Linked DNA regions of Caenorhabditis elegans. The protein of the gene in region 2 purifies or fractionates together with the protein of the main gene of each other region. This does not show direct contact. Each region holds a gene or a part of one and is shown on either strand. Other genes may lie near its edges.

Region 1 (7,869 bases), on a different chromosome or scaffold from region 2:
CACAGTATTTTTTTCAGACTAAGTGCCTGTGGAGTGTCTCAAACTTTCAAGTCGATCATTGACGCGCAGTGCTCCAATATGACGGACTGTGCCGTGGTGTTGAGTAAAGGATTTGTGGAATTGATTATAAACGAAGCCTGGGTGAATTATCGAGAGTGGATCGACGAATCTTTTCAAGCCGGATGCCGTTTGAAGTACGAAGATCGAGAAATCATTCTACCGAACAAAACACCACTGGAGGTTGCTATGAAGGATTTATCAACGTTTATGCATGGTCGAGAGTTGAGCCTGGATAGTTTTATGGTGACCACCTGGGAAGAAGACATGGATTTATACGATCCTCTCATCTCTCTCCTTCATCAAATTGGAAGTGTTCCAGCCAAATATGTGATTATCGAAGGAGCAACTTCCGAGAAGACAGCCCAAATCCTCCAACATTTTGAGGCTGGAGTTTTGAAAAAGTTGCGAATCAGAGCTGATGTGGCCGATGCAGCTTCCATCCAACCTCTGGTGGCGCTCGATCAATGGAAATCAGTGGACAAACTTCATTTGACCTGTCACGCCAAACAATTCCAGTTCTTCGTCAAGCATCTCAAGCATCTCAAGGCAATGAAAGTCGACTTTTTTGGACACAATTTATCGAAGGGAGATATGATGAAATTTCGCGATGTAAGTTTCTTTAGAGTTTTCAATTGACCTATTCAAGTTTTCAGGAAGTTATCGTGAAATCGAGCCGTTTCAAAGTCTACAAGTTCAAGCGAGTTCACTACAGTTCGAAAGAGTTGCTGCAAGTGCTATGTCCGATGGAGTCTCCAATCGATTCATTTGGCAAGATCGACATTGAAACCGACAACGCTACATTTTCCATCGAGTTCGACGACGATTGGTTCCAGATCAAGAAATCTCTGGAATGATCTTTTGACTTGAACCTGTGATTTGTGAATGAAGGATTAGAACTCGAATTCTCTCAAATTTGAATATTCGTTTTTCCGTCAATAAAAAAACATGGGAAAGAATTGTAATGAGAAGTGGTTCATGTACGAATTCGGGGCTCAACCAGGTTATGCTTTGTGTTCGGCAGGGCGCATTTACACTGATTTGATTTTCAGCTAGAAGTTTCAACTTTCTGAAATTTAATTTCTGACAATTTACCAATTTGCCGGAAATTTCAATTCTGACAATTTGCCAATTTGCCGGAAATTTCAATTCCGGCAATTTGCCGATTTGCCGGAAAATTTCAATTCCGGCGATTTGCCGACTTGCCGAAAATTTAAATTAATTTAGAAAGTTGAACAAAATTCAAGTCCGGCAATTTGCCGATTTGCCGGAAATTTCCATTAATTTAGAAAGTTCAAAAAAATTCATGTCCGGCAATTTACCAATTTACCGGAAATTTCAAATCCGGCAATTTGCCAATTCTCCGCATATTTCAATTCCTGCAATTTGCCAATTTGCCGGAAATTTCAATTCCGGCAATTTGCCGATTTGCCGGAAATTTTCAATTCCGGCGATTTGCCGACTTGCCGAAAATTTAAATTAATTTAGAAAGTTGAACAAAATTCAAGTCCGGCAATTTGCCGATTTGCCGGAAATTTCCATTAATTTAGAAAGTTCAAGAAAATTCATGTCCGGCAATTTACCAATTTACCGGAAATTTCAAATCCGGCAATTTGCCAATTCTCCGCATATTTCAATTCCTGCAATTTGCCAATTTGCCGGAAATTTCAATTCCGGCAATTTGCCGATTTGCCGGAAATTCAAATTCCGGCAATTTGCCGATTTGCCGGAAAATTTCAATTCCGGCAATTTTCCAATTTGCCGGACTTTTCAATTTCAGCAGTTCGCCAATTTGCCGAAAGTTTTAATTCCGGCAAATTTCCGATTTACCGGACTTTTCAATTCCGGCAATTTGCCGATTTGCCGGAAATTTCAATGCCGGTAATTTTTCGATTTGCCGAAAGTTTTAATTCCGGCAATTTTCCGATTTGCCGAAAGTTTTAATTCCGGCAATTTTCCAATTTGCCGGACTTTTCAATTTCAGCAGTTCGCCAATTTGCCGAAAAATTTCAATGCCGGTAATTTTTCGATTTGCCGAAAGTTTTAATTCCGGCAATTTTCCGATTTGCCGAAAGTTTTAATTCCGGCAATTTTCCAATTTGCCGGACTTTTCAATTTCAGCAGTTCGCCAATTTGCCGAAAAATTTCAATTCCGGCAATTTGCCAATTTGCCGAAAAATTTCAATTCCGGCAATTTTCCAATTTGCCGGACTTTTCAATTTCAGCAGTTCGCCAATTCTCCGCATTTTTCAATTCCTGCAATTTGCCAATTTGCCGGAAATTTCAATTCCGACAATTTGCCGACTTGCCGGAAATTTTCATTAATTTAGAAAGTTCAAGAAAATTCAATTCCGGCAATTTGCCGATTTGCCGGAAAATTTCAATTCCGGCAATTTGCCTATACGAAAAACTGATAAATTGAACAGGAAACCCAATAAAAACTAATTTATAAATACATTTCATTCAGTTCATAATTACATTTTCGGGCAACCCTGTGATCCCCAATCAGGCATATTAATATCAAAATAGGTTAAGTGATCCGGTGGATAAGAGTCCAATTGTCGATTACTACAGTAGAGGCCATCTGCTTCCGCACAAATAAGATATGGGTCTGTGCTTGACATGTTGTTGTTGTACCTGAAAATATAAATTTTGCAATGTTTGTCTTACGGTATTGGGTCTCAACACGACCTTTTTTTTCTTTTTTTTTTTCTTCGATTTCACCAAAAATAGCCTTAAATTTGGCTTTTTTTAAATGAATTTTTGGTACTTTTTAAAAAAATTTATGGCTTTTTCGATATTATCTTTTTATTTTTTAATTTAAATTGTTTTTTAAAACTCAATTTCGACATAGAAAGCATCAAAATCAACAAAAAAAATTCTTGAAGAGTTTGAAAATACGGCAATATCTAACGAGACCCAAATTATGGGAGCTGGGCGCTTTAAATCGGCGTTGGAGCGCAATTGCACTTCAAACTCAAATTTTGCGTTTCCACATGTTAAAACAACAGGGAAATTGGAGCTACAGTACTCCTTAAAGGCGCACATAATTTTGCATATTAAAAAAAATCGGTCGTTTCGAGATCTGTGAATAAGGAGTAGCACCAGTAGAAACATGTTAAAAACTACTCCTATGGTGCAAAAATAACCAATTTTTCTGGCTTCCCTCATAAATTGTAATGGAAGAGTTTGTCGAACTAGGCCATTTCGGATTGGCCATACCTTGGGTAGATTTACGGCGCGTTGCGTGTCGCGTGGCGGCTTGTAAAACTAAATGTATTTGTCCGTGTGGAGTACACGACTTTCCCACGCGTTGTCCAGCTTGTCAATGGAGCGCGAAAAATGCAGTGAGGAAGGCCGGAACTTCGTGAATTTGAAGAAAAAAAACTAACCAAACTTCTGTTCTGTGATGGAAAAGCTCATCCTTTCCATATTGCGGAGGAATGTGTGGAACAATATCCCTATGATGAACAATTCGGAATGAATACGGAAAAGTCTTATCATGCCAAACAGCATAATCATAATCGCCGGTTCGCGGTTGTCCCATCGTAACAAGTTTCACTTGATCACCAGTATAAAGTCCTGAATGGACAACATAAGAAGCTGCAATCGATGCAATTGCTCCACCAAGTGAGTGCCCAGTAACCCATAATTCATACTCTGGATATTGGTATTTTAGTCGACGAATTTCTTGTTGAAGACCTCCATTCCAGAGGAAAAAGAATGCATCGTAGAAGTAGGTGAAAATGTGTCCGGCATCATTGAAAAATGGCTTTTTACCCCTGCAAAACTTCAACAAATTCACAAAGGGAAAAACACGATTTTTTAAAATTTTAGCTAAATTCTAAATTCCCCGACCAATCAGCATCTTTGAACTCTGCCCACTTGCTCTGATTGGTCCGAATGTGGGCGGAGCAAATCGCTGATTGGTTTTTTTTATTGATTTTAAGATTTTTTTTTGGTTTTTTTTACAGAATTTTTTTTTGTATGAAAAATGTTTGAAAAATTTTAATATGAAAAAATTTATGAAAAAACCGATTTTTCATATTTTTTTTCTATAAAACTCAGAAAATTTCAAAGAAACGGACGAAAATCTACGAAAAATCGATAAAAATTTTGAAATTTTGAACTACGGTACTTTTTAAAGGCGCACACATTTTAGCATTTTACAAAAAATTGTCGCGTCGAGACCGTGTATTGGGTTTTGGCGCAAAAATCTTAAAAACAGCTGGATTTAACCATTTTTACTCGAAATTTTAAAATTTTTCGACAAATTCTGAAAATGCGTATTGCACAACATATTTGACGCGCAAAATATCTCGTACCGAAAACTACAGTAATCCTTTAAATGAGTACTGTAGCGCATGTGTCGATTTACGGGCACAAAAGAATTAAAATCATTTATTTATCGATTGAATATTAAAATTAGGCAAAAAGTGAGAAAATAATACGAAGAAACGAATGAGAATGGCACTTCGCTGTAAATCGAAACAAGCGCTACAGTAGTCATTTAAAGGATTACTGTAGTTTTCTTTTCGCTACGAGATATTTTGCGCGTCAAATATGTTGTGCAATACGCAGAATTCCGTGTTCCCGTAATAAATTCAATCTCACGTAAAAAAGTCCAAAATCTCTTCAGTCAACTGTGTGGCTCCTTGAGTTCCCCGAAACGACATGACAACGACTTTTTGTGTTGTATCGAATGATGTGAAACCGAAACAATCGGTTTGTGGCCCAACTTCTGAGCAATTTACACTAAAAGTTTTGGATAGTGTCATTGTTGGCATTGAGTTTCTGGAAAAAAAACGCCGTTGGTAGTGTTTAAAAAAATGTTATTTTTTCAAAACACGGATTTCTGGCTTCCCTCATAAATTGAAATGGAAGAGTTTGCCGAACTAGGCTCGGCCATATCTGGGGTAGATTTACGGCGCGTTGCGTGTCGCGTCGCGTCGCGTTTCTAGTTGTAAAACTGAATCTATTGGTCCATATGGAGTTCGGCTGGTGATTGTCAACGGAGCGCGAAAAATTCAATGAGTAAGGCCAGAACCCCGTGTCAAAATTTTTCTCACTTGAAACATTTCTGTGGATTATTATTGAATGCGGCAGCAGTTGTCAATAAAATTTTTGTTCTCACAAATGTATCATCATACGCGTGTGCTTTATCAGGTAGTTCCGGGCAGTTTAGTGCTTTCTGGAAACGTTTATATTTGTAGAGTTTACAAAAAATCAGTTTATCAAATCGTGATTGATAAGATAACTTGTCCCATTACGATTTGTTATACAAAAAATGCGGGGTTTTTCGCCCAAAAAAATGTGACGTCAGCACGTTCTTAACAATGCGAAATCAGTTGAAAACTCTGCGTCTCTTCTCCCGCACTTTTCGGAGATCAAATCAAAATGGGGCTTTCTGGCACCACGTGAAATTGTGATTGATAAGATAACTTACAGAAATTGATGTTAAACATGGGGAGAATCCGCATTCGTTAACTGTTACACACCAGCTGAAATTCGAAAAAATTGTTACATGCCGGGCAAGCCATTTTGTGCCTACACCTTCTTACAAATTTGCCTCACTTTTCCGCTTATGTTTTATGCTATTATGGTGGGCAAAAAAAAAAGAATTATTTAAAATTGAGGTTCAAGCGCGCTCCACGGGCAAAACTTGGGTCTCGGTAGGTATTTGAATCTATTGAATCATTCGAATACCACTTAAAAATTGAAATTCCCGGTTTTGTCTCCAAAGACCTAACGAGACCCAACTTTTGGCGGTGGAGCGCATTTGCATTTCGATTTTAAACACTCACTGTTTCCCCGAAGCAATACAATCGGAGCACTTGCTTGACTCCACAAGCTGAGCGCCTAAAATCGTGAAGAATATCGAAAAATAGACTAGAAAATGCATCGATTCCTAAAGAAATAGGAAAACTGATAAGAAACCCGAATTTTATATAAATTCCGCTGGGCGGCGCACATGTGAAAGCTTATCAGTTGAAAGGAGCAAAAAATTGAGCACAGTTTAACATTTTTCGCAAAAAAAGTTGAACTTTTTATCTGTAATTACATGGCATATCTAGTTCGATTTAAAGTTATTTTTAACTTGAATATTTCCTTTTCTTTCCGTCTTCTTCATTCTATTCGGAACCACTGTTTTCTCACACTTTCACCAAATGTTTATTTTAACAAAAAAAAAACCGAAAATTAATTGTAAGAGTGTACGATGGTGAGGGGCACTGTGAAACTAAAATTTTCGAATAAATCGAAAAAGGCCCAAAAAGAGTGGAATAATGATAATGGGACAGTGATGTATTGATTAAAAAAGAAGGGAGTAAATTCTAGAAAAGAAGGAAGCTAAACATGGAGAGAGAGAGAGAAGTAACGAGAATAATAATAAAACATTTGATTATTTGTCAAAAAAAATCTGAGGGGAAAAACTGGGGGATACATACAGGCACAAAGCTTGCAAAAAAGGGGGGGACTACTGATTAACAATCGGATTTCTCCACGTGCACAACTGCTTCGACGTAGAATTGATCAGTGACAGCCATGTTTGAAGATCTTGAGCTGTATCGGCCGCCAGCATAACTCGAAGACGCTCAATGCCACGTGGATCCGATGTATCCATTTTTGGAGCCCAAACATCAATGTGGAAGCTATTCGGGAATGGGCAAATGTCTTCAACTACCGATGCACCTTCGGAACGGCAACACGTTGAAAGATCCATTAGTGCAGTGTAACCCTACAATAAAAAAAGTTTAATTTTAGACAAAAAAAATAAAAATTTAAAAACCTTAGTTCCCTCATCTTCTGGCTGCTTCCAAAACTTCATCTCTCCATTCTCAAGAGCACACCAGTATCTCGTCCACGATCCGAGCCCCTCGCCAGTTCTCTGATACATTGACAAGAATCCGTGATAAGTGATATCAGCTCCATCGATCGCCTGTTTGCGTACTTTCATCTGTGTAATACCTTCGAGCGGATATACAGTATGTGACATGTTGTACAAATGTTTTCCAGGGCAATTGATGTCGAACGAGAATGTTCCGAGCAAATTGAAGTTGGATGTGGTCGACGAAGTTGATGATGACGATGCTGCTGGATCGACGAATAGGCTCTGGTTTGCTGATGAAGTTGATCCGCCGCCCAGGAATGTGTTACGAGTCTAGAAATATTACTTATTTCCAGGTTCTATTGATATACACGTCTAATTAAAGGCGCACGGGTTTATTCAGAAGGGTCTCGGAGCGCATGATAACCTCATTTATTTTCCATTTTGCAATCAAATTGCTTGCGAGTATGTAGCGAAAAATTCGCTTAAAACAACGGCGCGCCGAGACCCATATGAATAAATCTGTGCGGCTTTAAGAACACGGCCCGAGAAGTGGTACCTGTACGCAATTTGTCTACCGTATACCTGGACGTTTGGGCGCGTGTATCTCAAAAACAGTTGTCCAGTTTTTTTGTGATGCATATAAAAAATGCCCGATATTAAATTCTACATTTTTTGGACCAAAGCTTTTTTCGTTATCACGCGCCCAAACCTGGTCTACACTCAAATTATCAGTAGAGCGCATTTGCATGGATGTACCACTTGCCGGAACGTGAAGAAGATGAAGTTATGATACATTATTAACAGAAAACAGAAGAACAAGACATTTGACAATAACAAACAAACAAACAAACAGACATACATCATGCAATCTTCTCCACAATCTACAGGGTAGGGGCACTCTCTTCTTCTCCTCACTTGCTAAGTTTTCAGCAGCTGTCATTCTCGATTCATGCTCACACTCATCAACAACATCATAACAACAC
Region 2 (8,011 bases):
GGTAGATAAAAATGAACACTAAAATAAATAGTTCTATAATTTATCTAGATGTAACTGGTCTTTTTTCAATCCATTTTTTAACATTTGGAATACTATGAATTTTCTTCTGATGATCTTTCATCTCCAAGAATGTATCAAGAATTTTTCCATCTGCTTCCAAGAGATCAGCTGAATGTTGAGCAATGGCCAAATCCATCCAAGTTAAAGAATCTCCAACAAGGAAACCACTTCCACTGGATTTCAAAGATTCAGTGAAAATTGAGTACATTTTATTGAAAGCCGGAACGAATAAATCTTTGTAAAGTTGATCTACATCTCCATCGGAAAATCCCATTTTGGCCCTAAAGAATGGCCGTGCTTCAACACGATAATCCTTGAATTGGTCACCGAGAGCATCAACTTGAGCTTCTTCCCATGATGATTTTCCAGAAATTCCAAATTGTTTTGATAGATACCGAACAATTGTAATCGATTGTGCCAGTTGTCTTCCATCAACTTCTAGAACTGGAACTTGTCCAAATGGGGTCACTGAAAATTATATTAAGATAAGAAATATTTATGTTTCTGAGCACAGGATTTTTTGTTCGTTTAAAGAATGATTTTTGATAATTTTTGAAATTGTTGAATAAAAAAAAATTTTCAAGTGATCTCCTATTTTTCGATATTCTTTTGAAGATTTGAATAAAAGTTTCACGAATTTTCAAAAGTTCATTCAACTTTTCGAACATTATGTGACGTAAAGATCTAGGACAGTGATAAGGATTTGCATAAATAGAGAAGGTTTTGTCATAATCTTCACTGTGAGTTTTCTCACTCTACAAAGAAGTCGCCATGGCCCAATCCGTCCCACCAGGAGATATCCAGACCCAGCCGGGTACGAAGATCGTGTTCAATGCCCCGTACGACGACAAGCACACCTACCACATCAAGGTGATCAACTCATCTGCTCGCCGTATTGGATACGGTATCAAGACCACCAATATGAAGAGACTTGGAGTTGATCCACCATGTGGAGTTCTGGACCCAAAGGAAGCTGTTTTTCTGGCAGTTTCCTGCGATGCCTTCGCCTTTGGACAGGAGGACACTAACAACGATCGTATCACTGTTGAGTGGACCAACACTCCGGATGGTGCTGCTAAGCAATTCCGTCGGGAATGGTTCCAAGGAGACGGTATGGTTCGTCGTAAGAACCTCCCAATCGAGTACAACCCATAGGATTTGTGAACTTTCCAAAACTTCAATAAACTTTCATTGATAGCTCGTTTTTTGTTTTTTTTTACTTGAACATATTTTCAGAGATTTTCAAACGAGATAATATTGTCATGCTCGAAAAAAGAGCTTCCTTTCCACTCCTCGTTTGAGCATTTTCCTCTAGATCAGCTGGCTCGACACTACAATGTTTCTTCGATCATCTCTTTAAAAAAACCGAACTTTAATATTTCTGCAGGTTCTGCCAAAATGATTCCAAAAGAAGCCTGGAATTTTTGATTTTTTTTTTGCATTGCAAAGTTTTTTAAATTTCTGCAGTATCTGCCAAAATCCCCAATAATAAATATATATTTGAATTGTTATATTTTCGATTTTTTTCAGTAGAAAATCGAATTGAATTTATTTAATAATGTGGAAAAATCGAATAAAATTGTAAAATGGGTTACTGTACTGCTTAAAGGCACACCTTAATCTTTATGTGAGGATATTTTGTTCGTGGCGGGATACCACTTAAAAACTGAAGCATTTCGCTACATTGTAATTAATCAACTTTTTAAACTGAGGATTTCATTCTAAAATGCAACTTTTGAACTTACTATTTTTAATTTCTGCCCACTGCTCTTTAGAAATACGCTCATCAATAAATTCTTGGCCGGCAAAAGCGAAAACTTGACGAGCGATTTCTCCATTTCCACGAGATTGAAAATAAATTAGTTTATAGGAAACCATTTTTCAGAATAAAATGAAGAATTCGTCACAATCTGGCGCTTTTGAACCCTTCGCTCTCAGTGTCTGCGTTTCTCATTTCTCACTAAATCGACATCAGAAAACCACAAACATCAACTTTTTTTTCCAAAAACCAACATTGATGTATTTCACAATATTCTCATAAGTTTTCAAATTTTCATTCAACTTTTCGTTTACGTGCAACATAAAATTATATAAACCGAGGAAAATCTACACATAATTATTTAGCTAAACTCATGCAATATATAAATCATTTTTAAATACTAAAATTATGTGATAACAGTTGGAGCCTTGCGATTAGTGAACTGCTCCATTTTGCAAGTATCAAGTGCAATCAACACCAATGGTTTGAGCAATTCGTGAGCTGGAAGTAGAAGGCGAGAAGTGTCATTTGAAGGAATGTACGAATCAACGTAGAGACGGATGGTAGCACCGGCAGATCCTGTTCCAGAGAGTCGGAATACCAATCGAGATCCATCTTCGAAGACAATTCGGAGTCCTTGTTTGGTTGCAACTGAACCATCCACTGGATCAGTATATTGGAAATTGTCAGCGACAGCAACCTGGAAATAGTATTTTTTAGAAAAAATAAATCTTTTCGAACTTTCTCTCACCTTATATGTAACCCCATTTGCCGAGAAATCTCTTCCAACAAATGCTGGCAATTGAGCTTCAAGGAAAGTCATCAACAAGTTGGCACCAGCTGCATCCACATTCTCATAGTCGTAACGAGTGAACACATTTCTTCCATATTTCTGCCAATGCTTCGTCACAATTTCCTCGACGGATTCTTTTCGGTCTGCGAGAATTTGAAGCCATGCAAGAAGTGCCCAAACGCCATCCTTCTCACGAATGTGATCAGATCCAGTTCCGAATGATTCTTCTCCACAAATAGCAATTCTTCCAGCATCCATAAGATTTCCAAAGTACTTCCAACCGGTCGGTGTCTCATACACTTGAAGTCCCTTTGCCTTGGCAACCAAATCAACAGCTCCAGCAGTTGGCATTGAACGAGCAAAACCAGCAACCTTACGAGTCTTGAAATATGGAATATAATCAATGTTATCAGCAATAACAGCTAAAGAATCACTGGGGCAAACGAAGAAGCCATTCTTTCCAAGAATCATATTACGATCACCATCTCCATCAAATGCAGCTCCTAAATCGTGTTCTCCGGTGTGGAGGCGTTCAACAAGAGTTTTTGCGTAGGTGAGATTTGGATCTGGATGACCTCCACCGAAATCTGGCTTTGGAACAGTTCTCAAAAGATCAGAAGGATCAGCTCCAAGATGATCGACAAGAATTGTAGAGATGTATGGTCCAGTTGCTCCGTGCATCGAATCAAGTAAAACTCTGAGTTTGCGTCCAGTAAGTTCACCAGCGAGAAGGGATTTGATTTTTGGGAAATCAAAGATTTTCTGCATGAGGTTGATGTATTCGGTAACTGAATCAATGACGTCAACGACAAAGTGACCAACTCCCTCAATATCATATTCATATCTGAAAATTAATGTACATCAATGTAATCAAAATATTGATGTGTTTACCTTCCAACTTGTGTAAAATCGCATTCTAAATCCTTGGCAATCAAGTATTTATCGATTTTAGTTGTGATCTGATAAATGGCATCAGTGACTTGATCTGGAGCAGGTCCACCATTTTCGCAGTTGAATTTGATTCCAAAATCTCCCTTTGGACCTCCTGGATTGTGACTAGCAGTGAGAATTATTCCTCCATCAACAACACGACCTTCGTGTCCTTTTCTGATAAGATTCGAGAGAGCTGGCGTCGACAAGAAACCGTTTTGACCGACGATAAGACGGGAAAGCTGAAAAACTCAAATTTATAAAAAAATTACTAAAATTTCTCAATATTTCTTACCCCATTGGCTGCTGCAATTTTAATAATCACATTTGTGGCTTCCATCGAAAGAAACCGTCCATCTCCACCAACAACCAACTGAGAACCCTTCTTTTTCGATCCAAGACCAGCATCCAAAATTGCTTGAACAAAGTTTTCCGTGTAATTCTGCTGCTGGAATTCCGGAACCCGTTTGCGAAGACCAGATGTTCCGGGTTTCTGTCCTGCGAATGGTTTTGTGGGGGTTTCAACGACGGCGATTCCCATTTTAGGCTGAAAATAAATATTATAGATCAGAAAATAAAATGGACTGACTATGAGAAAAGAGAAAATAGTAAACAGAAAATGATCGCTTCGTATCTTATCACGAAAGTCAAGTGGTTGGTCAATGTTCAGTGATAGTAAACATAGAAAAATGAATAACTTTAGAAATGGGCCGACCTAAAATGTGCTCGAACTCTTCTGGGATAACTTTTGACCTCAAATGCAACTTTTAAATGGGGTTTTTAAAGTCCAGGTAGACAGACATGTTAAGAACACGAAGAATTTATTTATCTTCTGGTGGGTGGGCAGGAATAGTTCAGATTTCGCAGCGAAAAAAGAAAAGAAATGCCAGCTGCAGTTGTTGGCGCCAAAGGAGAGCACCCACACAAACAGAGAGTTCAGAGAAATAGAGAGCAACAAAATACGTGTAGAAATGGAACAACTGCTGCTGTTCATCAAAAAAGATAAAGAAAAATGAAAAGAAATCAATGAGCGAAAAAAAATTTATCTTCTTTATACTCTCTTTCGAAAATTCGAGACGCCCCCTATTGCTTATCAAGGTTTTCATCGCTACAAACTATTGAATATATTGTGTCGAACACAAAAACAACGAAATTTCGGGAAAAAGAACGATACAAATGGTGAATACCGCGCGCGCATTTCGAGTAATTTGTTTTTTTCAAACAAAATTTCAATAATGGTATGCGGTAATTAAAATCGCTGCGATACTGACAAACACTTTTTTCCTTCTGTGCCTTTAAACCGACCGTAATTAATAAAAAACTTTTTTTTGATAGTAACCGAATGAAATTTGGAGAAAATATTGATAAGTATTTAAGAAAAACTCAACTTTTTATTGAAACAAAATGACTCGCTTTTTGTTTTTTAAACGAATTCCGATTGTAGGTTAAGGTAGTTAAAATCGTTGCGGAGCACACGAAAACTTATTCATGCTGCGCCTTTAATTCTACCGTGGTTAATGTTTCACTTTAATGAAATTTTTCAAAAAACCAAAAACAGTTTTTTACCCAAAAATTATATGAATAAAAGAATCTAAATTATTTATAAAAACAAAGTGACGCTCTCACTAAAAATAAAACAACGGACTTTGTGCTGTTTTTGTTTTGTGCTGGAAGAATCACTGAAGAATAAAACATGTTTAAAAAACACAAATGTTTCTAATGTAACATTTTATAACAAAACTTCAAAGTAATATTTCCAAAAATCATATGAATCATCGCCAAGATGTTTGAAATTGATCGAAATATGATTTTGTAACGTCTTCAAATACAGTAATCGGGTTCACCTGACGGTCATCGCGTCTCTTATTCAAACAATGGATTTTCCCCTGAAAATATATAATGAAAATCTGAAAAATTGATAAAAACCTACAGAAAATGGCATATCTCTAGTTTTCCGTAAATGTAAAACGCAAACGGAAGGAATTAGAATTGCACCAAGTGCCAAATTAATATCAAAAAGTGAAATCATAACTTGACCCGAATATGTTTTTGAACCCAGATATACTCTAGGAACTACAATAAATATAATAACAAAAAATATGAGAAAAACCAACATGGAGCTCATAACTTGCAGATATTTAATAATTTTCACATTTTCTTCAACTTGAAACTTCTTGCTCAATGTATAATTTACATTTTTCATTTTCCGAAGATTCTCAGCTTTCCATGATAATCTCTTGGATTCTTGTACATTATAATAGTAAAGGCACATTAAAACCTAAAAAATGAAGAAATTATTTTGAAAAATGGGCATTGTGCTTCTTACAATGTTTGAGAAAACTGCCCATAGTGATGCGAATAGAATAATATACAACAAAGAAGCTTCAACTGAAAATAACTATTTTTGATGTTAAGAATGTGAATTGTGAAAAGAGTATATGCCTGCCAGTGCCTATACCTACCCCTTTTTTGTTTTTAAAATTAGGTTATTTTGCTGCTTTTTTGAAAATAGAAAATCCCAAAAAACCCCTTTTGGAAAGTTGTGTGTTCTGCAAATTTTCTTGTGTTTTTTTCCAAGTTTTTCCAAGGACGCAGGCAGGCACGTAGGCACAAAAACTGTAAGAGAATAAAACTTACAGAAACAAATGGGAATCACAAAACATTGAGTATAGGTTAGGCTGACCAAAGCACAAAATGCAGCAACCCAACATCTGTGCTTCGTTTCATAATCGACCACATAATAAGTTGCAAATGCTCGTTCAATAGTTACTACTAAAATTGCACTTAAACTAACTCCATAATGTTCCATTCTCAATATTCCCGCTACGAGGAGATACGGCGTGTCGAGATCTGAAAAATATTGAGCTACCGAGTCATATAAGTTTAAAATTTGAAAAAAAAACATATATGGCGTTGGACAATTTTTACCATTTAAAAATTACTGGAACGACTGAATTTCTGATTGAATTTTAAATTTGCGTGCAAAGAAAATCTGAAAAATCTACAATTTCAGTCACATTTACAATCCCCACAAGTATACACATATTTTTTCAACTTTTGATTTTATTATTTTGTGAAAATGTTACCCAACTTCCACCAGCTCATTCATTTGGAACATGTTATGGCAGCTCCATACAACATGACTTGAAGAATGTTCAACATACATCGCTAACACCAATGATATGAGTCGTGTTTTCAAAATTCCATTTTAAAATGTAACTATTATAAATTTTGGAAATTTCAGATTTTTCAGAAAATGTGTGATTTGCCAATGTTTATCTTGTCGTTTTTCAGTCAAATAAGTGTAAACCTCTTTCAGAACAAGTTAAATCTTACCAGAAAGCATATGAGACGAAAGTTTTTTTACAAACCTGTGACAAACTTTAATTGAACCAAAATCATGTAGAATCTGGCCAGACTTCCAAAAATATATAAAGTCGTGAAGAGCAAAAATAGATATTGTAAATTCAAATGTACAATTTGGAAACTTTTCACAAAATAATTGAAATAAACCATTAGAAACATTCCAACACAAATCAAAATACTTTCAGATGCATAAATAAACTGTAGTGTTGGCGTCAATGGAGCATTTATATCCACTAAAATTGGCACATCAAATGTGATATTGAGCCATTGGCCCTCCACCAATGGAATTGGCTCAGCAAGTAGTGAGAGAATTTTGGCAAGAAATTCCTGGATAATGTGCATTTTATCTTTAACTCAAAATAAGGAAAATGTTTTCTAAAAATAAGGAGTAGTAAGAGTAAGCATGAAATTATATATGCAGGTGGAGTAATTGATCGGGTTCAGAAAACGCTTTTAGATTATAAAGTTTGATGTGAATATCTATAGAAACGAATGATCACTTGTAATCGAATTTTAAAGAATGTTCGCCAAAACAGCGGTGACATGGAGGCGTGAGTTATGAAAAAAAAACTCAGAGAACAGGAAGTGTTAGCACATTAGTTGCAGTGTTGGTCAATACAAATAGAACATATAAAATCAAAATGTATTCATTAGAATATCAGTAATTTTTTAACTTTGAAAACCTTTTTTATTCGTTAAAATTCAAGATGCCCTAGTATTTTTTTACTAAGTGTTGCACAGATACTTTTAAATATTTGAATAGTTAACTTCAGAAAAATGGGGTTACCAAAAGAAACGGAAAAGACAGCTCTAGGCTAATAGGTTTTCTCTATATAGTTATATTCAAACAGTGTACGTTGAAAATTTTGAAGGAATACCATTTTGTTTAAAACCTTAAAAAACAGACATAAAATATTCATTACATTTTGATACGGGTTTATTCATTGCATTACAGAAGGAGTATCATCAATGAGGGAAATTTCTTAAAAATGTAGCTTGTCGCGAATACGATGGAGAAGAATCTCCAACGATCACGACTTTCATAATTAGAGTCACCAAGTGTACTGTTAGTTTAACTTATATAAAATACCACTGAACGCAAT
Region 3 (6,374 bases), on a different chromosome or scaffold from region 2:
AGCTCCACGTGTTCTTATTGAGCAATTCTTCTACAGCAAAGGATTCTAGATGTATTCTTGATATATCTTTTAGTTTTTTATCTAGGCAGATTTGTTTTGTTGTGAATTTATTGTTGGAGAATGAACTAGAAAAATTCAATTGTCTACTTTATCATTTTTACCTTCAAACCGGTTATTTCACCGTCATTTCCTTATTCTCTTCATTTTGTATCATTGCGAAATGCCGAAATTCTTCTCTAGAATGCCTTCCTCAATTTGTTGCACAAACTGCAGAACTAAATATTCATTATTAAACAGAGAAGTTATTTTCTGGCATCAAAAACTAATTAATTTCTATTTTTTCAGGCCGGCTGCTCGAATTGTGCTCTCTCCTTCTGTAAGAAATGTCTGCCTCATCGTGCAATTATTCCCACACTTTCGGATTTACCAATGATTGTCTGTAACAATTGCTATCAAAAATTGGAATCTGCCAAAATGAAGCCCAGCGCGACTGTAAGAAAAAGAACAAAGTAAAAACTAAATAGATATTAATCCCACGATTTTTTTCAGATAACATCAACGCCTCTACCAGATAATTCGAATAAATCGAATAAAAATTGGTGGGGTGATGGACTTCCACCGCCATCATTCAGGAATTCGCACACAAATCAAAATCAGATTAAAAATAGTGAAGTCAAAGCAACTAAATTCAGGAATTCGCCAGAAATTCCATCGCAGCAGACCAAGGTAATTAGCGTCACGGAATTTTCTTAATTTATTTTTCAGTTTTCAGCCAAATTATCCGACCAATGACCTGGAACAGCGAAGACTTAAACTGCGAGAAGATATTTCACCACAAATTGAACCACTCAGTATATCAGAAATTGAAGAACGATTAGCAAAACTTCGAGAATGTGATGTAGAAGTGATACGTAATCCTCAAAGTGTAAGTTGGACAAGGATGTTTTTAATTAAAAATGTGTCTTAAATATAGAAAATTACTTGATTCATCTGAAAATATAATTTTTTCAGTTGAAAATTTAAAAAAAAGTGTTTAAAATGACCTTAAAGTTACAAATTGCAGATAATCAAATTAAAGAGCTCTGTTTTCGGCAATTAACAACTTTCAGACCGTTTTCGTGAATTTTCTCAAGCGTTTCAACTGAAATACATGTTATTTTCTTTCAAACAAAATAGTTTTCTATATTTTGACACTAATTTTTATTGTAAGATTTTAGAAAAACATTGGCCAGTAGGTCGTTTTGTAGAGTTTCCGAAAATAATTGCCGTCCACCTCAGAAGTTGATTTTTTACGCCTAAATACCATTTTTAACATTTCAGTGGCTAAAGTCTTCTTCCAAGGAACCTGCGATGAACGCCAATAATCCATCTGAATTAATGCGAGTAGCTGAAGATCGTGCAAGAATTGAAAAAAAAGAAGAGGAAATGGAACATAAAGACTGGGATGAGCTTGAAGCAAGACGTAGGAAAATATTTGAAGATGAAAAAGAAAAAAATAGAGAAGATGATGCTTCAATACGAGAATCAATGGTTTCTGCAAACACAGAGTTTAGTGAAGCAACGAAAGAAGAAATGAATGAGATTAATAAGTGAGTTGGTGAATTTTTTATTTGAAATTAAACTGAAATACAGTTTTTTTTGAGAATTACAATACTTTTCAATAAAATTCAGTCAGCAAGCTGTAGAACTGGGACCGAAAAATTCGAACCAAAAAAAATCAAACAAAATTTTTTTTGGATTCGAAAATTGGAACTTTTTACAAAAACTGAAAACCACAGTTTGCTAAAGAACATTTGTAAAATATGAAAAGTGTTTAAAATATAGAAAATTAGTTTTTTGGTGTTTTGTCACAAAAACCAAAAAAAAAAACAAATTTTCGTCGAAATATTACAAAAATAAACAAACCCCAAAAAAGTACTAACCCTGCTGTAGACTTTTAAAGTTTTACGCATATTCAATAGTATTCCAGTATTCTTCAAGACGCAGAACAACGTGTAGCTGAAACCAAGAAGCAAGAAGAACATGATGCCGCTGAACTCAGAACTCTCATGAAATCTAGTAAGTTTAAAACGAAAATTTGAATATTTCTTCAACACAGTCTTTTACAAACCTTTTTACTGCCAGCTTAATTTCTTAATTTTGCTACAATTTCAGCTCGTCAGAAGTCTCTTGACGCTATTCAATGGAATGATAAGATCACGAAAGAAATTGGTGGATTTTGGGATCGAAGAAACGAAAAATTATCTGTAGATGAAGATGAAGATGAAGACGAGAAGTCCTTAGACGAAGAGACTTTCAAAAAGATTCTTCACGAAGCCGAAAATTCAGAAGATCTGCCTCCTCAAACTTCGGAATCAAACAAGGCGTCAACACCGAGCAACTCGAGCTCACCGAAGAAAAAGGGATTATTTGAAAAGTTGTTCAGAAAAGATTCAAAACAATAGTAAATATTATTTATCTTTTTTCTATGTATGTTAAATTACGAGCTTCTTGTAAATAAATGTATTTATTGTTCACCTATATACATCGTCTCAATCTTAAAATTAAAAACTTTAGTTATTCGAAAATCCTCCATCGACAGGCAAAGTGGATCCAGTAGTCATTGAAGCATTGTCTGAAAGAAGGAAAAGGACAGCATTCACAACTTCGTCAACCTCAGCAAAACGTTTGATCGGCATTCTGTCGAGCATCTTCTTCTTCTTATCAGGATCACTCCAGTTCTAAAAAGTCTAATTATGCTCTCTTTTCAATTTGAAAATTATTACATCTCTTCCCATATCAGTCATCACAACAGTTGGATTGACACTATTAACTCGAATATTCTGGGATCCCAATTCATTTGCAAGACATCTTGTGACCATATCAAGAGCAGCTTTTGATGCACCTGAACTTTCAGATGTACATTATTTCAGTAAAGTTTTAAACTAACAATAAACAGTGTGATTATCCAATGGACGAATGGCTGCTTGTGATGAAATATTAACAATTGATCCTTTGATTTGTCTATCCACAAAGTTTCTAGCAACTAATTGTGCAATGAGAATAGGTCCCCTTACGTTGACTGCAAATGTTCTATCAATTGATTGTTGAGTAATTTGTCCAATTGCATGATTTGTTGCAATTCCAGCATTATTTACAAGACCATGAATTGGGAAATGTGGTACGATAAGTTTGAAAAGGACCTCTTCATTGGCACTCACATCTCCAACAATTGGAATTATTGTATATCTCTGAAATATTAATTTAATCAGATTGGTGTAATATTTTATATTTTCACTTACCAAAGAAGTAGTCTCTTTGACAAGACTCAACAAATTTGCTTCATTTCTCGCGAATGCAATAACCTGCGCTCCAGCTTTGGCCAACGAAAGGCAGATTTCTTTTCCAATTCCTGCAAATGTGATAAATTGTGATGTATGATTCACAATCACCCCATCGGAAGTCTTCATGAACGATTTTTATTCTATTTTTAGCTTTGTTCGCGTAATATATTTTTTACCGACTAGGAAGGATGTACTCTTGTTTTCAATGCCAGAAATTTCCTCAAACATAATCGTAAAATAATTATAATTTTCAAACGGAATGATAAAATGTTGATGATACAACAAATTTTTGATTAAAGATTATAGTGTTATCATATTATCGTATATCAACGTTTTCCTCTCCATTTGAACTAGATCATAATTACACCGGAAGTAATCAGAGAGACCATCGGTCTTTTATCACATTGGCCTAAATTTGAAATGTTAAATTAATATGGATTAAACATTTTGAAAACTTAAAAAGTACAAATCTTCATGAGATTTCAGAAAACTGATTCAGTGGCTCCAAATGTTTAATGGTTTTTTTTAATTGAGCAGATAATTTTTAACATTTCCTTACTTCAAACTACAAATAAACTTATACTAGACCAGGGAAAACCTGGTCAACTTCAATTCAAACCTTGCAAACATATCTAAACTCAAAACATAGAACAATCGTCGGAAAAGAGATTTGACGTTTTCCGTGAAGTTTTCAACTATAGGTCAAAAGTTGGGCAATAAGTTGGCACCAACTCCGAGTGGTACAAAAACTTATCTCAACATAACTTTCTGTCTAAATATCAAGTCTATTTCCTGTAGTGAGCTATCTCAATTTCATATTTGTTAAATGGAACCCAAAACAAGTGTATTTGGTTTGTATTGAAACAACCCATCTTAACTTTTTCAACATCTCAAGACTTACCTTGACTTGCTCCTGTGACAAGTATACGTTTGTCAGTGAAATCGTAATTGGCGGGCATTGTTTCGTCAGATGATATGAATATCAGAAAATGTGTAGTATCTACCCCATTCTACCCAACACGATCAACTTTTATATTGTGACTATTTTTGTTATCAATGCCATTCCTCTAACAATCTGCGTCCAATTGTGTATTGATGATCGTCATAATGGTTTCTATTTCGAGATCGACAGGGAAAACCCTTTCATTTTGCAAAGTATGTAACAATGAAACTATTGAGCACCGAAACAATGTACACAATTTTCTTTAAAACGCTCGTTTCAAAAAATAGTATATCATAAGCAGCAAAATCGAGTACTTTGTTTTTGCTGCTTATGATATATATTAGAGGATGAGTTCAAGAGCAAAAATGATCCCAAAAGTTCAAAGACTTGCAAAATATCATACTTTCCTGGTAGTTTCAGGTACCATCAAACGTATATGTCCCACTTAACATTAAGCTCAACCTTCCGTAAAAAGTTTGTTTTGGCTAGCTTCGTTAGTGTCTCCGTCTTAATTTTTTTTACATCAACAACCAATTTCAATATCACAAGATCTGCGTCCAAGAACAGCTGAAACTTCGTGACGAGTAACCATAGCAACATGGCATTTCACCTGTTCAATCTAGCCACTCAACTCGCCACATTTCTTATTCTCAATCTCAGCTTCAATAAAATCCCAACTATTGAAGTGATATAAAGATCGTGTAACCATGTCGACGGACATGGACCCAGTCCCGGGTCTTCCTTTACTTACCACTCTTTTTTGTAATTCAACAACTGTGAAGAAAAAAGTGAAGATAAGCTGTGATTTTCCTGATGAACTCTACACAAAGAAAGCATTTTACGGAGGACCAATTGGAGCTGGACTCTCCGCAATTGAAGTTTCAATCATCGCAGTTTTCTTTCTGCTTTCTTTGAAAATGAAGCGTGATATCACGAAGGTCTTTCTGACTATTGTCTACATTCCACTTGGACTGTCATCTCTGTTCAAGATTGCACTGGCTATCTACAGTATCATGCTTGGAGCTTATGGATGGTGGTACATGGTTTTTCTGATGTTCTTCAACTGGTTTTACACTACAGCAGTCCTCACTACATCCATTGGATCTGTGATTTTTCTCTCGGCGTTGATTGTAATTGCAAGGAAAAGACAAAACTTTAATCCTTGTGATTCATGGTAAGAAAATGGTTAGAATGACACAGCAAAAATCTTGAATAACATTTTTTGTTAAATGAATAGTTGATGCCTCCGATATTTTCCAGGACATCTTACTTTGCTGTGCTCTTCTTTGCTGCTATACTCTCTGGTTCATATCATTTCATCGCATCCCAATGGAACCCACTTCCTGCTTCTGCACTGTTTTTTACCTACCTTTTGTGCACAGTGGGAATCATTGCCGAGCTTCTAGTGGTAATCTATTTTTGATCTCTAAAGGTGGACATCAGTGCCCAGTTATACATTAGTGAGGTATTAAACAAAGTGTGAAAAAATCCAAAGAATAGTAGAAAATTTAACCGAAGCCAACAAGTGGTGTGATCCTATTTAAAGATCGTTTTCAGTGTAATTGTTTTGCACTTTACTTCTACACCCCTACACATATCTATTGACAGTAATTCAACAATTCCACCTTCAAATGAAATTTAAATATAGAAAATCAAAAATGTTTTCCAGTGCTTGTGTGTTGGATTAATGTGCAAACCAAAACCAGCAGCCGGAACAAACATGGCAGTTCTGACTGGTGATCCAGTTGTCGATGATGCACGTAGCCGTCTTGGTTTTGGAGCAGCTGCTGTAATTGTAATGAATATTCCTCAATGGTTTGAGTTTTGTAAGTTTTTGCAACTGAATTGAATTTTAATTGGTTTTATCGTATTCTTTTCAGATGTGAAAATCGCCGAACTTTTCGCGCCATACCTTTGGAACTCGGACGATGAAAAAACTGTATACTACACTGCACTGGCAATTCAACTTCTGACATTTGACACTGTTCGTTTGTTCATGAGCCTGTTCATGCTAGTTGCCTTCTTCCTAACCGTTTCATCAAGATTTGCCATTGATCAATGGATTCGTCGTCAACATCACCCAACTGGAAATCCAACCGCCACACAGA

What was found. The genes of interacting proteins can lie anywhere in the genome.
Region 1: the proteins of pgm-1 (region 2) and Y49E10.18 fractionate together in Caenorhabditis elegans (co-fractionation; one large-scale study listed by BioGRID). This does not show direct contact.
Region 3: the proteins of pgm-1 (region 2) and dhs-21 fractionate together in Caenorhabditis elegans (co-fractionation; one large-scale study listed by BioGRID). This does not show direct contact.

Annotation. Positions count from the first base shown.
Region 1 is NC_003281.10:12,440,143-12,448,011, forward strand, and holds Y49E10.18 (Fungal lipase-type domain-containing protein), read right to left. Parts: upstream 5,965-7,869; 5' UTR 5,960-5,964; coding exon 5,862-5,959; intron 5,559-5,861; coding exon 5,504-5,558; intron 5,249-5,503; coding exon 5,127-5,248; intron 4,852-5,126; coding exon 4,672-4,851; intron 3,840-4,671; coding exon 3,450-3,839; intron 2,695-3,449; coding exon 2,532-2,694; 3' UTR 2,488-2,531; downstream 1-2,487. Other genes in the region: ani-1 (Anillin-like protein 1), read right to left, coding at 6,533-6,793, 6,845-7,216.
Region 2 is NC_003280.10:4,885,515-4,893,525, reverse strand, and holds pgm-1 (phosphoglucomutase (alpha-D-glucose-1,6-bisphosphate-dependent)), read right to left. Parts: upstream 4,090-8,011; 5' UTR 4,084-4,089; coding exon 3,838-4,083; intron 3,785-3,837; coding exon 3,504-3,784; intron 3,457-3,503; coding exon 2,571-3,456; intron 2,520-2,570; coding exon 2,226-2,519; 3' UTR 2,099-2,225; downstream 1-2,098. Other genes in the region: msp-33 (Major sperm protein 33), read left to right, coding at 832-1,215; gst-9 (putative glutathione S-transferase 9), read right to left, coding at 41-528, 1,806-1,938; R05F9.7 (Serpentine Receptor, class E (Epsilon)), read right to left, coding at 5,315-5,428, 5,473-5,820, 5,869-5,930, 6,180-6,392, 6,914-7,250.
Region 3 is NC_003283.11:12,729,280-12,735,653, forward strand, and holds dhs-21 (L-xylulose reductase), read right to left. Parts: upstream 4,367-6,374; 5' UTR 4,283-4,366; coding exon 4,225-4,282; intron 3,392-4,224; coding exon 3,282-3,391; intron 3,231-3,281; coding exon 2,930-3,230; intron 2,885-2,929; coding exon 2,766-2,884; intron 2,721-2,765; coding exon 2,553-2,720; 3' UTR 2,488-2,552; downstream 1-2,487. Other genes in the region: mrpl-49 (Large ribosomal subunit protein mL49), read left to right, coding at 1-49; zfyv-19 (FYVE-type domain-containing protein), read left to right, coding at 242-301, 346-492, 550-726, 773-925, 1,321-1,589, 1,970-2,058, 2,155-2,444; xbx-9 (XK-related protein), read left to right, coding at 4,974-5,440, 5,527-5,674, 5,936-6,092, 6,147-6,374. UniProt on the Caenorhabditis elegans protein: Catalyzes the NADPH-dependent reduction of L-xylulose, D-xylulose, L-(+) erythrulose, D-erythrose, D-threose, L-ribulose, 1,4-dibromo-2,3-butanedione and 2,3-heptanedione.